Oryzias latipes: one gene and its partners. The protein of the gene in region 1 purifies or fractionates together with the protein of each later gene. This does not show direct contact. Links are inferred from orthologs where the notes say so. Each region holds a gene or a part of one and is shown in the gene's direction. Other genes may lie near its edges.

Region 1 (3,666 bases):
AGGCAGACAGGTGGTAAAAAGCCTGTCCAAAGGCATGCAGAGGCATTTCCGGTCCATCCCCAAACCCGTTCCGGGAGAGAAAAAGAGCATGCATGCGTTGCCTCACTTTGTCTGGCTTATCAAGTGCATCTACGAGATGCAGGACAGCCAGATTGCTAAAGATGCTATGAGTAAGCTGGAGGTGGACCACCTAAAACTGACGTACTGTAATATTGGCCCTGTTGAATGCACTGCCCTCGCCTTTGTGCTCCAGCATTTAAAGAACCCTGTTGGTCTTAATCTGGACAACAACTCTGTGGGTGACGTTGGAGTGGAGCAGCTTCTTCCCTGCTTGCACATTTGTAGCTCCTTGTAGTAAGTAAAATGTATAAATCCCCCTTTTTTCATATTTTCATATTTGTGAGCTTAGAGGTTTGCAACCTGAGGCTGTGGAGCCACACGGGGCATTTTGGCTTTGAAGAAATACGAAACGTATCTGAATAAATAATGGTTATTTTTCAGTTAGTTTTGCAATTACAAGTATAGATTTTATTTACTTTTTATTGGATTCAACACAGATGTTGTCATATTTATATTTGATAGTAAGAGGAGAAAAAAGATGAAGGTGCACAATCATAAAAAAATATAAAATAATATAAAGTGTAATGACTGACTTACATTTTTTTAATGAAGTATATTTTCTGCAGCAAGAGGATTTTGTTTTTACACAGGATGTGACTTATTTTGAAAGGAACTGGGCTGTCGAAAAGGCAAAGTAGTTTAAACTGTTGTATGTAAAAAATTAACAAATACATATTTCTATTATTGTAAATAATTTGAAGTTTCATTTCTAAAAAATGACAACATCCACCATAAACAGTGAGTTTTTCTAAATGGTGAGGTGGGACTTGTCAGCTATTGTTGGTTAGGGTCTTTCAAGGTCAAAGGTTGCAGACCCCTGATATTGCTGGTAAATAAAACAAAGGTTACCTTTTGATGTCATTCAACATAAAAATGAGCATTTTAAAGTTTAACTCTGCATATTTTTTTCTGTTGTCAGCCTCAGAAATAACAACATTACAGATGAAGGTATTCGCAAACTGACTGACAAAGGTGTGCAGTGTGACAGCTTCCAGAAAATAGCGTATGTACTTTCAAACTGATCTCCAAGTCTGCTGTGTTGTCAAGTCTTCTCTTACTGTGACTTTGCGTTTTTCCAGCCTCTTCAACAACAGACTAACTGATGCTTGCACCCAGCACTTCTCCCACCTTCTGAAGACCAAGCAGAATTTCCTTGCTTTAAGGTGAGTTGCTGTTTGGATAGGCTGTGAATGGAGCAGAATAAAAGCTGATGCATCCAAACGTGTATTTTTCAGGCTGGGCAACAATAATATAACAGCCGATGGGGCAAAGCTGCTGGCAGAGGGACTGAAACAGAACGGCTCTCTCATGTATTTAGGGTAAACATTACTGGAAACATGTCTATTTACTGTCTTGCTGACATTTTTTTTTCTATACCAACGCTTTTTTGTTTGCATCAAAAGGCTTTGGGGAAATCGGATTGGTGATGAAGGAGCGGAGGTCATTGCCAATGCCTTAGAAAGCAGCACATCTCTGGTATGGCTCAGGTAATACTTGTATTTAAGATATGTATAAATGACATAACGAACCTGTACAATATGTGCATCATTTAAAAAAAAATGCCCATTGGCTTCATGGTTTATGAAAACTATGGATGCATTGGCAGCCTCGTGGGTAACGGTGTTGGAAGCACAGGGGCGTGTGCTCTCTCCAAGGTCATCAGGAACAGCCCATCACTGGAGGAGCTCTGGTAAATATCAAACACAGCTGCAATGTGAACAACAATTCCAGTTTTGTTGTCAATGCTATAACAATCAAAAACACGATTCTTGTTTGCTACCAAAAGGCTGACGGACAACTGCATAACCAGGACAGGGGTGGAATCTCTCATTGAAGCCTTGGAAAGTAACCCACGAGTGAAGTCAGTATGGTATGTTACAGCAACAGAACTGCACAGAGTTCTGCTGAATTGAATGTGGTCGGTTCTCTGGCGTGCTTCTATCCAATAAACTGTCTTTTAAATTTTCAAACACACTTGTTTGATATGTTTTGAAGACTTGTGTGTCCTTCCTCCTCCAGGTTAAGAGGCAATGAGCTCAGCTCTGAGGACGTTGCAGAATTAAATCAGCGAGAACCAAGGCTTCTTTTTTGATGTAATGTGCCTGTTATTGAAAAAACTACATATTTTTTGCAATGTAACTGCTACTCCTTACTGACGTACAACTGCCGTATGGATGAGCACACTTAAGAACCATGAATGACATTTGCACATCTTCACTTTCTTCCCTTTTTGGCTTAAAGTAACAGATCTCCCAGGCAAAATAAATCAACCTAAAACCTTACGTTTGAAGGAATTTTGTATGAGTTTACTACTAGCAGAGCTAGAACATTTCATAAGGGGTGGGGGGTAATTGTATCCGTTAATTAAAACAGTTTTATTTTTGTTATTATCAATAATAAAAACAGCAGTTCTTTTAGCTGAGGTGCAATTACTAATGAAAAAGCTTGTATTGATGATTTTAAATTTTGCCAATAACGATACTAGTCAAATATTAGAGAGGCAAAGCTTTTTGCCTCACTTTGACTTGTGAGATAAAAAAAGTAAAGTTTTTCTGTTTTTGTTTCTCAGTCCTGTTTACTTGACTTTGAATTGGTTTTTAAATGTAGATCAAACTAACTGCATGGGTTCTTAGGCAAAGATGCAACAACAAAACCTTCCAAATATTTTAGCATGTACCTCAAAAACTGAGCAGCTGCTGTACCTCACACTTTTAAGTTACATGTGTCTGAAGTGGGACTGAATTGGACAGAATTTGTAGCTTTTTTGCTGCCCCCCTGTCATTTAGTTCTCAAAAAATGCAACTCTCAGAAGCTATTTCACTTGGTTTTATTATAATTTCTTGTTGAATAACAGCTAATCTCGATGAAAATGCTGTTGCATTTGTTAAAGTTTTTATTCTATTTTGTTGTTCTCTTTTTTGTTTCCTTATGGCATAAGCTGTTGACTTTTGTGGGAGGTGTTTCTCATGTGGATGTCTTATCTGGTTTAATAAAAGTTAAAGTTAAAAAAATGCCTCTCTGATCTTTGCAAATTAGTACTAGAGCCAAACAAGCATGGGAAATAATCGATTTTCTTGAGTCATGTTTAAAGGATGGAGGTAGGGCTGCATGATGAGGAAAACGTGCGAAATGCGATATTAGTGATTAATATTGCGATGATGATATAACTTGCAGTATATGAACAAATATTTAAACAAGGAAATACATAATTTCCATTTCACTGCAACAGTGAACAAAAATATATTCCAAATGACCCACATAAAAAATCTAACATAAAAGGGCTCCATCCAATTGGTCTATGATATAAAGGAGTCTATTCGATTGGTCAAACACATAAAGGGATTTGTTTTTTTCATTAAATACTACAAACTGCCATAAGATTGTTTTAGCATATTTAAGGTAACCATGCATTGCCATTTTAACCGTCTTTAGCGATATGCATATTGCACAGCTTGATATTGCGATAACAATACATTTGCCATTTATTGTGCAGGCCAACAGAGGTATTTTAATTTAGTTTTGTAATCTACAACTGCCCTTCTTTAA
Region 2 (2,940 bases), on another chromosome or scaffold:
GGATGAAAACAGAGTATTAGTTGGCCAATGATGCTTCATGAAAAGAATAAATAAACAAGTTTGAGAAAGAATTCTTGGTCTCAGATTTTGTCAAATAAATTTCCCGTCAAAATGCGACTTATAGTCCAGTGCGACTTATCTGTGTTTTTTTTTCTACTTTATAATGCATTTTTGGGCTGATGCGACTTATACTCTGGAGCGACTTATAGTCCGGAAAATACGGTAAACATAAAATGTGTGATTGTCTTTGTTGTTTTTGAAGCTAAATGTAACATTTTAGGTTCATTGATGACTCTAAATTGTCCCTATTTGTGGATGTGAGAGTGTGTGCGTGTTGTTGTTGTGTGACTCTGCAACAGGCTGGTAAACTGTTCTGGATGAACCCAAAAATGTCTGGGATAGGCTCCAGCAACACTGTTACCATAAAAAGGATTAGGCAGGTTTGGAAAATGGATGGAGTTCAGTTATCAAGTCTGACTTGCAAATGTTCTGGGAGGAGCTACTATTGGACGTTCTCTTTTAGTTTAGTGCACAACAAATGTAGGTTATCAGATTGTCTCAAATGGCTCTGCTTTCTCCATTCTTTCAGCTGATTGCTCTCCTCCACTGCCGCACTCCCCCCCGCTGTCACAAGGCCCCATCAGCAGCTGGATCGCCATGCGGCGCGTGCAGATCGTCTCCCAGATGACGGAGGCCTGTCTCAACCAAAGCTTGGACGCGCTGCTGGCTCGCTCCATGCTGATGCGCGAGGACTACGAGCTGGTGGTCAACCAGCCGACGCGCACCGCCAAAGTCCGCCAGCTGCTGGACAACTGCCACAAACACGACGAGGACTTCTGCCGCATTGTCGTCCGCAAGCTGTTCGACAACAAGCAAATGGGCCTGAACCCGTACCCCACAGACATCAGCTGTCCCACCTCTGCAGCTGCTGTGCCAAGCGCTCCATCTCTGCCCACCTCCTGCAACATCCCCAGAAACTTTTAGCAGAGGTGGCAGCAAATCAGAGGACCGATGATGGCGTCGTCGCACCACAGCTGACCCTTCCTGGTTCTGTTGTCGTTAGCAATAAAGGTGTAGGTTTTGTCCTTCCGTAAAAATCAAAAGATACAGAATGAGTTGATGATCTTAAATTGTTATGGATTTTGTATTTATACTCCATTTTTTTTTTATTTCCTTGTGTTTTCTCTTATTAAGGCCCATCTTTTTAGATACTCGTGTGCATTTGCCTAAAGGAAGCGCCATGGAGACTGTTACTTTGCTGGCAAACCTGCAGTAAAGAAAAGACCCCAGACAGAGTACAATCTCAAGGCAGCACTTTCCCATGAGTTCACATGAACATTTATAAAACCTCCCTTTACCTGTAAAGTGCACAGTTTGCATTAGAAAATATATCATATTGGTGCAAATTCAATTTTACTGAAGAGAAGACGATTAGTGTGTTCACAAGAATCTCAAGAATATGACAAAAATGTTTGGGGGTTTTTGTGTCAAAGTTAAGCAGCTCACAATAACTACTGTATTTATTACGAAGTAACCTCTCAGTATTTCTATTCATGCTCACATTTTGAGGCTTGACACCCACCCAGATACTTTAGAGCCCTCTTTCTTCCAGAAACTTTTCGTTATTAATCGGCTCTAACTTTTTGGAAGTTGCCAAAACTGCTTTTCTTGTAGCAAACTTTCCTGGAATTGTAATCCAATCATCTTGAAGTTTTGTTTTCCATTATAACAAGAACAACTCCTTTTTAATAAAACAGTGATGGCTTCCATAAAGAAGAACAGTTAAGAGAGTAGCACCAGTATCTGTACAGATAATACACTTTTTGATGTCTATTTTAAGATGTAGCAAAGGAAAACAAAGTTACAGCATTAGGAAAAGAGTTTTGGTTTAATGGAATAGTAAGCAGAATAGGTTAGGTTTATTCTATTCATTGGCTGGCAAAGCAGTATATTTAACACTTTCAATGGAGGGCCTTACTGGTGTCTTCAATGCCTTTGCTTCTTAAAGGAGGTGCTTAAATTTCCAAACGGTAGCTTTTCTGTGTACAATGTTTTCCACCTTTGCCTTTTCCCAACGTGCTCAAATGTGGATTACTGGTTACTAAAGTGCACACTCTGACAAACGTCAGGTTTTCAGCCATCCGTAGTCCCTGAAATGACAACAGAAATTAGGCTTTTTGTGCTTCCAAGTGTTGGATGTGTCCTTAAACTCTGTGCCTCATTGTGACGGCCTTTGTATCTTGTATTATATTTTGTACTGTACCCACATTGTTGTACATCTTTATCTTTATGTGGTAGTTTAACACCTAAGATGTCTGTTGAGGTAAAGTTGCATTTTCTAGTGCGACCTTTTTTCAAATATTCTGTCACTTCTTCCATTAAATGGGAATCGATCACTTTGTAATTTCTGCAATTCTTTTTTTTCTTTATCTGCAATAACAAATCAGGAATCATTAGGCTGCACCCATATGAACCCACTCACACCAGGGGCCTGCCTAAGTTCCCCTTTTTGGAAAAAAAAGGGCATGTTTTAGTGGAATGACTTGGAAGTAACAGAATATCTCCTTTGAAAATCATGTTTGAGTTTAGCAAATTAAAAAAAAGAAAAGTGGTGCTTTATTTGTTGTCCAGGATATACACTGGACCGTCATTTTGAAAAGCGGAAATCCAATACCCAATAATCCAATCTCAAACTTGGAGTCTTGTTTTTAACCCTTGTGCTATCCTAGGCACTTTAACATTGGGAGGTGGGTCATCTAGACCCACTAGACAGTGCGCTAAACCTTTTTTCTTCAGTGATTTGTGAACCTCACTGGTGTCCATGGATGACATTAAATCTTTCCACCTTTATCCACCTTTGTCATGGTAGGGAGAACACGTCAATGTATGGGTGGATTCATCTAAGATAGCACAAGGGTTAAAGTGGCTAACTCCTAGTTT
Region 3 (3,437 bases), on another chromosome or scaffold:
TAAATCTAAATGTTTGTTCATAATATTTTTTTATTATTATTCTAGGAGAAGGAGACGAAGTGATCTGTTTCAGATGTGGTGGTGGTTTGAAAGATTGGGACCCTGAGGACAATCCTTGGGAAGAACATGCCAAATATTATCCTGGGTAAAAACCTCCAGCTTTGCTTTTTCCCATAAAAGAAGGATTATGTATTCGTATAACCCTTGTGCTATCCTATGGGGTCAAGATGGCCATTGACGTGTTCTCCCTACATGACAAAGGTGGACAAAGGTGGAAAGATTTCATGTAATCCATAGACACCAGTGAAGATCACAAATCATTGAAGAAAAAAGGTTCAGCTCACTGTCTAGTGGGTCTAGATGACCCAACTCCCAACGTTAACGTGCCTAGGATAGCACAAGGGATGTAAGTGTATTTATGTATGTATCTTACATCCTTTTTTTTAAATTCCATTTTAGATGCAGCTTTCTTTTATCAGAAAAAGGCCAAGAGTTTGTTAATACAATTCAGCTACAAGAACCTAAATACTCACAACAGGTAAGGCATATTATTTCCCCTCATTTAAGAAATCTGTTTCTGAAGCTTCTTCACTTCCCTAGTTTTTGTAGAAATTGTTTTTTTTTTTTTAAATAAAACAAAGAAGGTTTATTTTGTATTATGCCTAGCCTATTCTCTGTTAAAGAGTTGGTGGGGGAGTGTGTTTAAAACAAAAGCTGTTAGACGTTTCTCATGAGTTCAGACAAAAGGATTTACAAAAAGTGATGATGTGACCCTTTTGTTTCCAGGCTTCAGAACATCAAAATGGATTTTTTGAAGAGGAGAAAGGTAAATATTCTTGGATATGTATCTAAATCTAAAAATGTACACTATGGTATTAGTTAGCTGAACCTTTTGAGAAGGAGAACCTAAGCCAGGGGTCTGCAACCTTCAGCACTTGTAGAGCCAATCAGGTTAATTTTTCACTTACCGGAACCCAGTAGGAGCCATAAAAAGACACTGATTTGCATTCATGTTATTGTTACTATTATTGTAAATATAAATCAAGTTGTGGATTTTTCACAGAAATAAAACAGTCATAAAGATAAATTTGTTTGAAATAGTGAGAACTTTTAACAGAGGTTTACATGACTTCCTTTCAAGATAAAAGACTCTCTGTACCACATATGATCATCTTAATGTAACAAATGTTGTTGTAGGAATTGGGATGTCAGCAGTGATTAAAAAACAACAACTATACACTGTTTAATTTATTGTTGTTTATACCTCTCAGCCAGAAATTTGTAAAAATCTAACAAGCTAAAATGAAACTAGATTTTTGACCCTATGGCGCACTTGCAATTGTTGAATTTTGTTCAATAATAATCTCTTCTAGTCTCAGCGTGCCTTAAGTATGAATTCTGGTTGTGTTTACTGACCTCCAGCTGAATTGCTGTGGTCAAATCGTTTCAAACGTTAGACGATTTTGTTTTGATTGATGTATCGTATGGTCTAAAGAATGTTACTTTTTAAAATGAAAAACATTTTAGTATTCTTCAATATGAGAGCCACAAAGGAGGGGTCAAAGAGCCACATGTAGCTCCAGAGCTTCAGGTTGCAGAGCCCTGACCTCAGCTCAGTCATTTGTTGGGGTTAAATTAAAAGTCAAAAAACATTATCTTCTGCAATTTTACATTAATTACATACGAACTGGGCTGACAAATAATAGAAAACATTGAATTTTCAAGCATGGTCTAAGCAGTACGGCAGAGTTAAAAAAAAAAAAGAAAAAAAGTAGGATGCCCAGACCATGACCCTGCTGCACCCCCCTGTGGCCTGCTTGGGCTCTTACAGTTAGAGATTGTCACAATTGGGACCGTGGAAAACTAACCCTTTCTTTTTTCAGTTGAGAACCCTCTAGAGGAGCTGGAGAAGCTGCGGCAGGAAAAGCGCTGTAAAATCTGCCTAGACGAGAACGCGTGCATCGTCTTCATCCCATGTGGACATCTGGCCAGCTGCAAGGCGTGTTCCAATAAGCTCAACCAGTGTCCCATCTGCTGTGCAGCTATAGCACAGAAAATCCGGACCTTCATCGCTTAGGAAACCAAAGACTCTTGTCTAACATGGTTGCTGCTATTCTTTCAATGGAGACGTATTTTTTAAGTGGGTGTCTGTGAAGAAATGGCTTTTTGTGAGCATGTAGGTGGAAAAAACAAAGAGTAATACAACTAAAGGTTTGTCTAAACCAGGTTTGCAAGAACTTACATATAACAGCCGTTTTCTTCACAGCAAGAAAACACGAAAATTTGTTTGTTTGTAGTGATGAAACATTCACAAAACATCAATATCTGCATTTCTTCATCCAACTTGAAGATTTTTAGGGTTTAAGTTGTTTTTAAACATAAAAAGTGCTTTTTCTTCAGACTCGGAATAAAAACTATTCCCCGTGCTCCAAGATCTGGAATTCATTCATTGTTTTTTTTACACAAATCTCCACTTAAAAAAAGGAAAATTCCATTAGTGACTATGTAATATAACGCTATATTCATCAAACATGCACTATAATATATGTAAAGATAGTTGATGTTGCAGAATTAGAGATGTATCTGAATAATATTTTTTCAGTAGTTTGGGGGATAAAGGATTATTCTATCCAGGTGATTTTGTTAGAAGCAATAATTTTTTCTTATTATTGTTTAAAATGTAACGTTTTCATTTGTTTTCTGTTTCTATCTATGCATTTATTTAAACTTTAAAGCTTTGAAATTGTCTTATTTTAGTTTTCTGTTCCCAAGCATATATTTAGTTTTTAAACTTTGATTTATTTTCTTTATTTGTCAAAGATATTTTAATGCATAAAGGCAAAATTTTAAAAACACTACTAATAAAGACTCTTCCAGTGTGGTGAGATGTTTCACACGTCACTCATTCAATTGCTTTCATTAACAGTGAATAAATAACTTTTTTGTCTTTATTTACCTTCCATTTTTCCCTAAAACTGTTTTTTTAATTAAAAAAGTTCCTTAACTATGACAATTTTTTTTTTATCTTATGAAATTATTTTCTAATCATCTTAATGAATATTTTGGGGAAGAAACAACAGGTAGAAATCTAAATTTCAATCATTTTTGATTATATAAAAATATTGAATTAATTTTAATTCTAAATTGGGTGGTTTCATCTGAATTTACATTTTTTTTATTGTTTGATTTAACATCACATTTCAATTTTAAACAATTTCAGACACATTTTCAAACAATATTTGTCTTGGATGTTCAAGTTTTTTAATTTGGAATGGAATTTTTTTAGGATTTTTAAATAAAAAATAATTAGAAACTGTCAATTTGGTAATTTAATATTTATTTTAAATGATTTGATTGCATTTTTATATTTTAGCTAAGTCTTGTTTTGTAGTTTGACTTTTATGTATTTTTTTTGTTCTGTAAGACATTACATTTTG

What was found. The genes of interacting proteins can lie anywhere in the genome.
Region 2: the proteins of nod2 (region 1) and ripk2 purify together in Homo sapiens (affinity purification with western blotting; 12 studies listed by BioGRID and IntAct, with this or other methods). This does not show direct contact. The link is inferred for Oryzias latipes from reciprocal best matches to the Homo sapiens genes NOD2 and RIPK2.
Region 3: the proteins of nod2 (region 1) and E3 ubiquitin-protein ligase XIAP purify together in Homo sapiens (affinity purification with western blotting; 3 studies listed by BioGRID and IntAct, with this or other methods). This does not show direct contact. The link is inferred for Oryzias latipes from reciprocal best matches to the Homo sapiens genes NOD2 and XIAP.

Annotation. Positions count from the first base shown.
Region 1 is NC_019861.2:30,231,012-30,234,677, reverse strand, and holds the end of nod2 (nucleotide-binding oligomerization domain-containing protein 2), read left to right. Parts: coding exon 1-354; intron 355-1,039; coding exon 1,040-1,123; intron 1,124-1,199; coding exon 1,200-1,283; intron 1,284-1,355; coding exon 1,356-1,439; intron 1,440-1,523; coding exon 1,524-1,607; intron 1,608-1,726; coding exon 1,727-1,810; intron 1,811-1,906; coding exon 1,907-1,990; intron 1,991-2,139; coding exon 2,140-2,212; 3' UTR 2,213-3,131; downstream 3,132-3,666. UniProt on the Homo sapiens protein: Pattern recognition receptor (PRR) that detects bacterial peptidoglycan fragments and other danger signals and plays an important role in gastrointestinal immunity.
Region 2 is NC_019875.2:13,792,834-13,795,773, forward strand, and holds the end of ripk2 (receptor-interacting serine/threonine-protein kinase 2), read left to right. Parts: intron 1-589; coding exon 590-984; 3' UTR 985-2,404; downstream 2,405-2,940.
Region 3 is NC_019868.2:22,026,849-22,030,285, forward strand, and holds the end of E3 ubiquitin-protein ligase XIAP, read left to right. Parts: intron 1-45; coding exon 46-145; intron 146-459; coding exon 460-538; intron 539-786; coding exon 787-826; intron 827-1,883; coding exon 1,884-2,077; 3' UTR 2,078-2,901; downstream 2,902-3,437.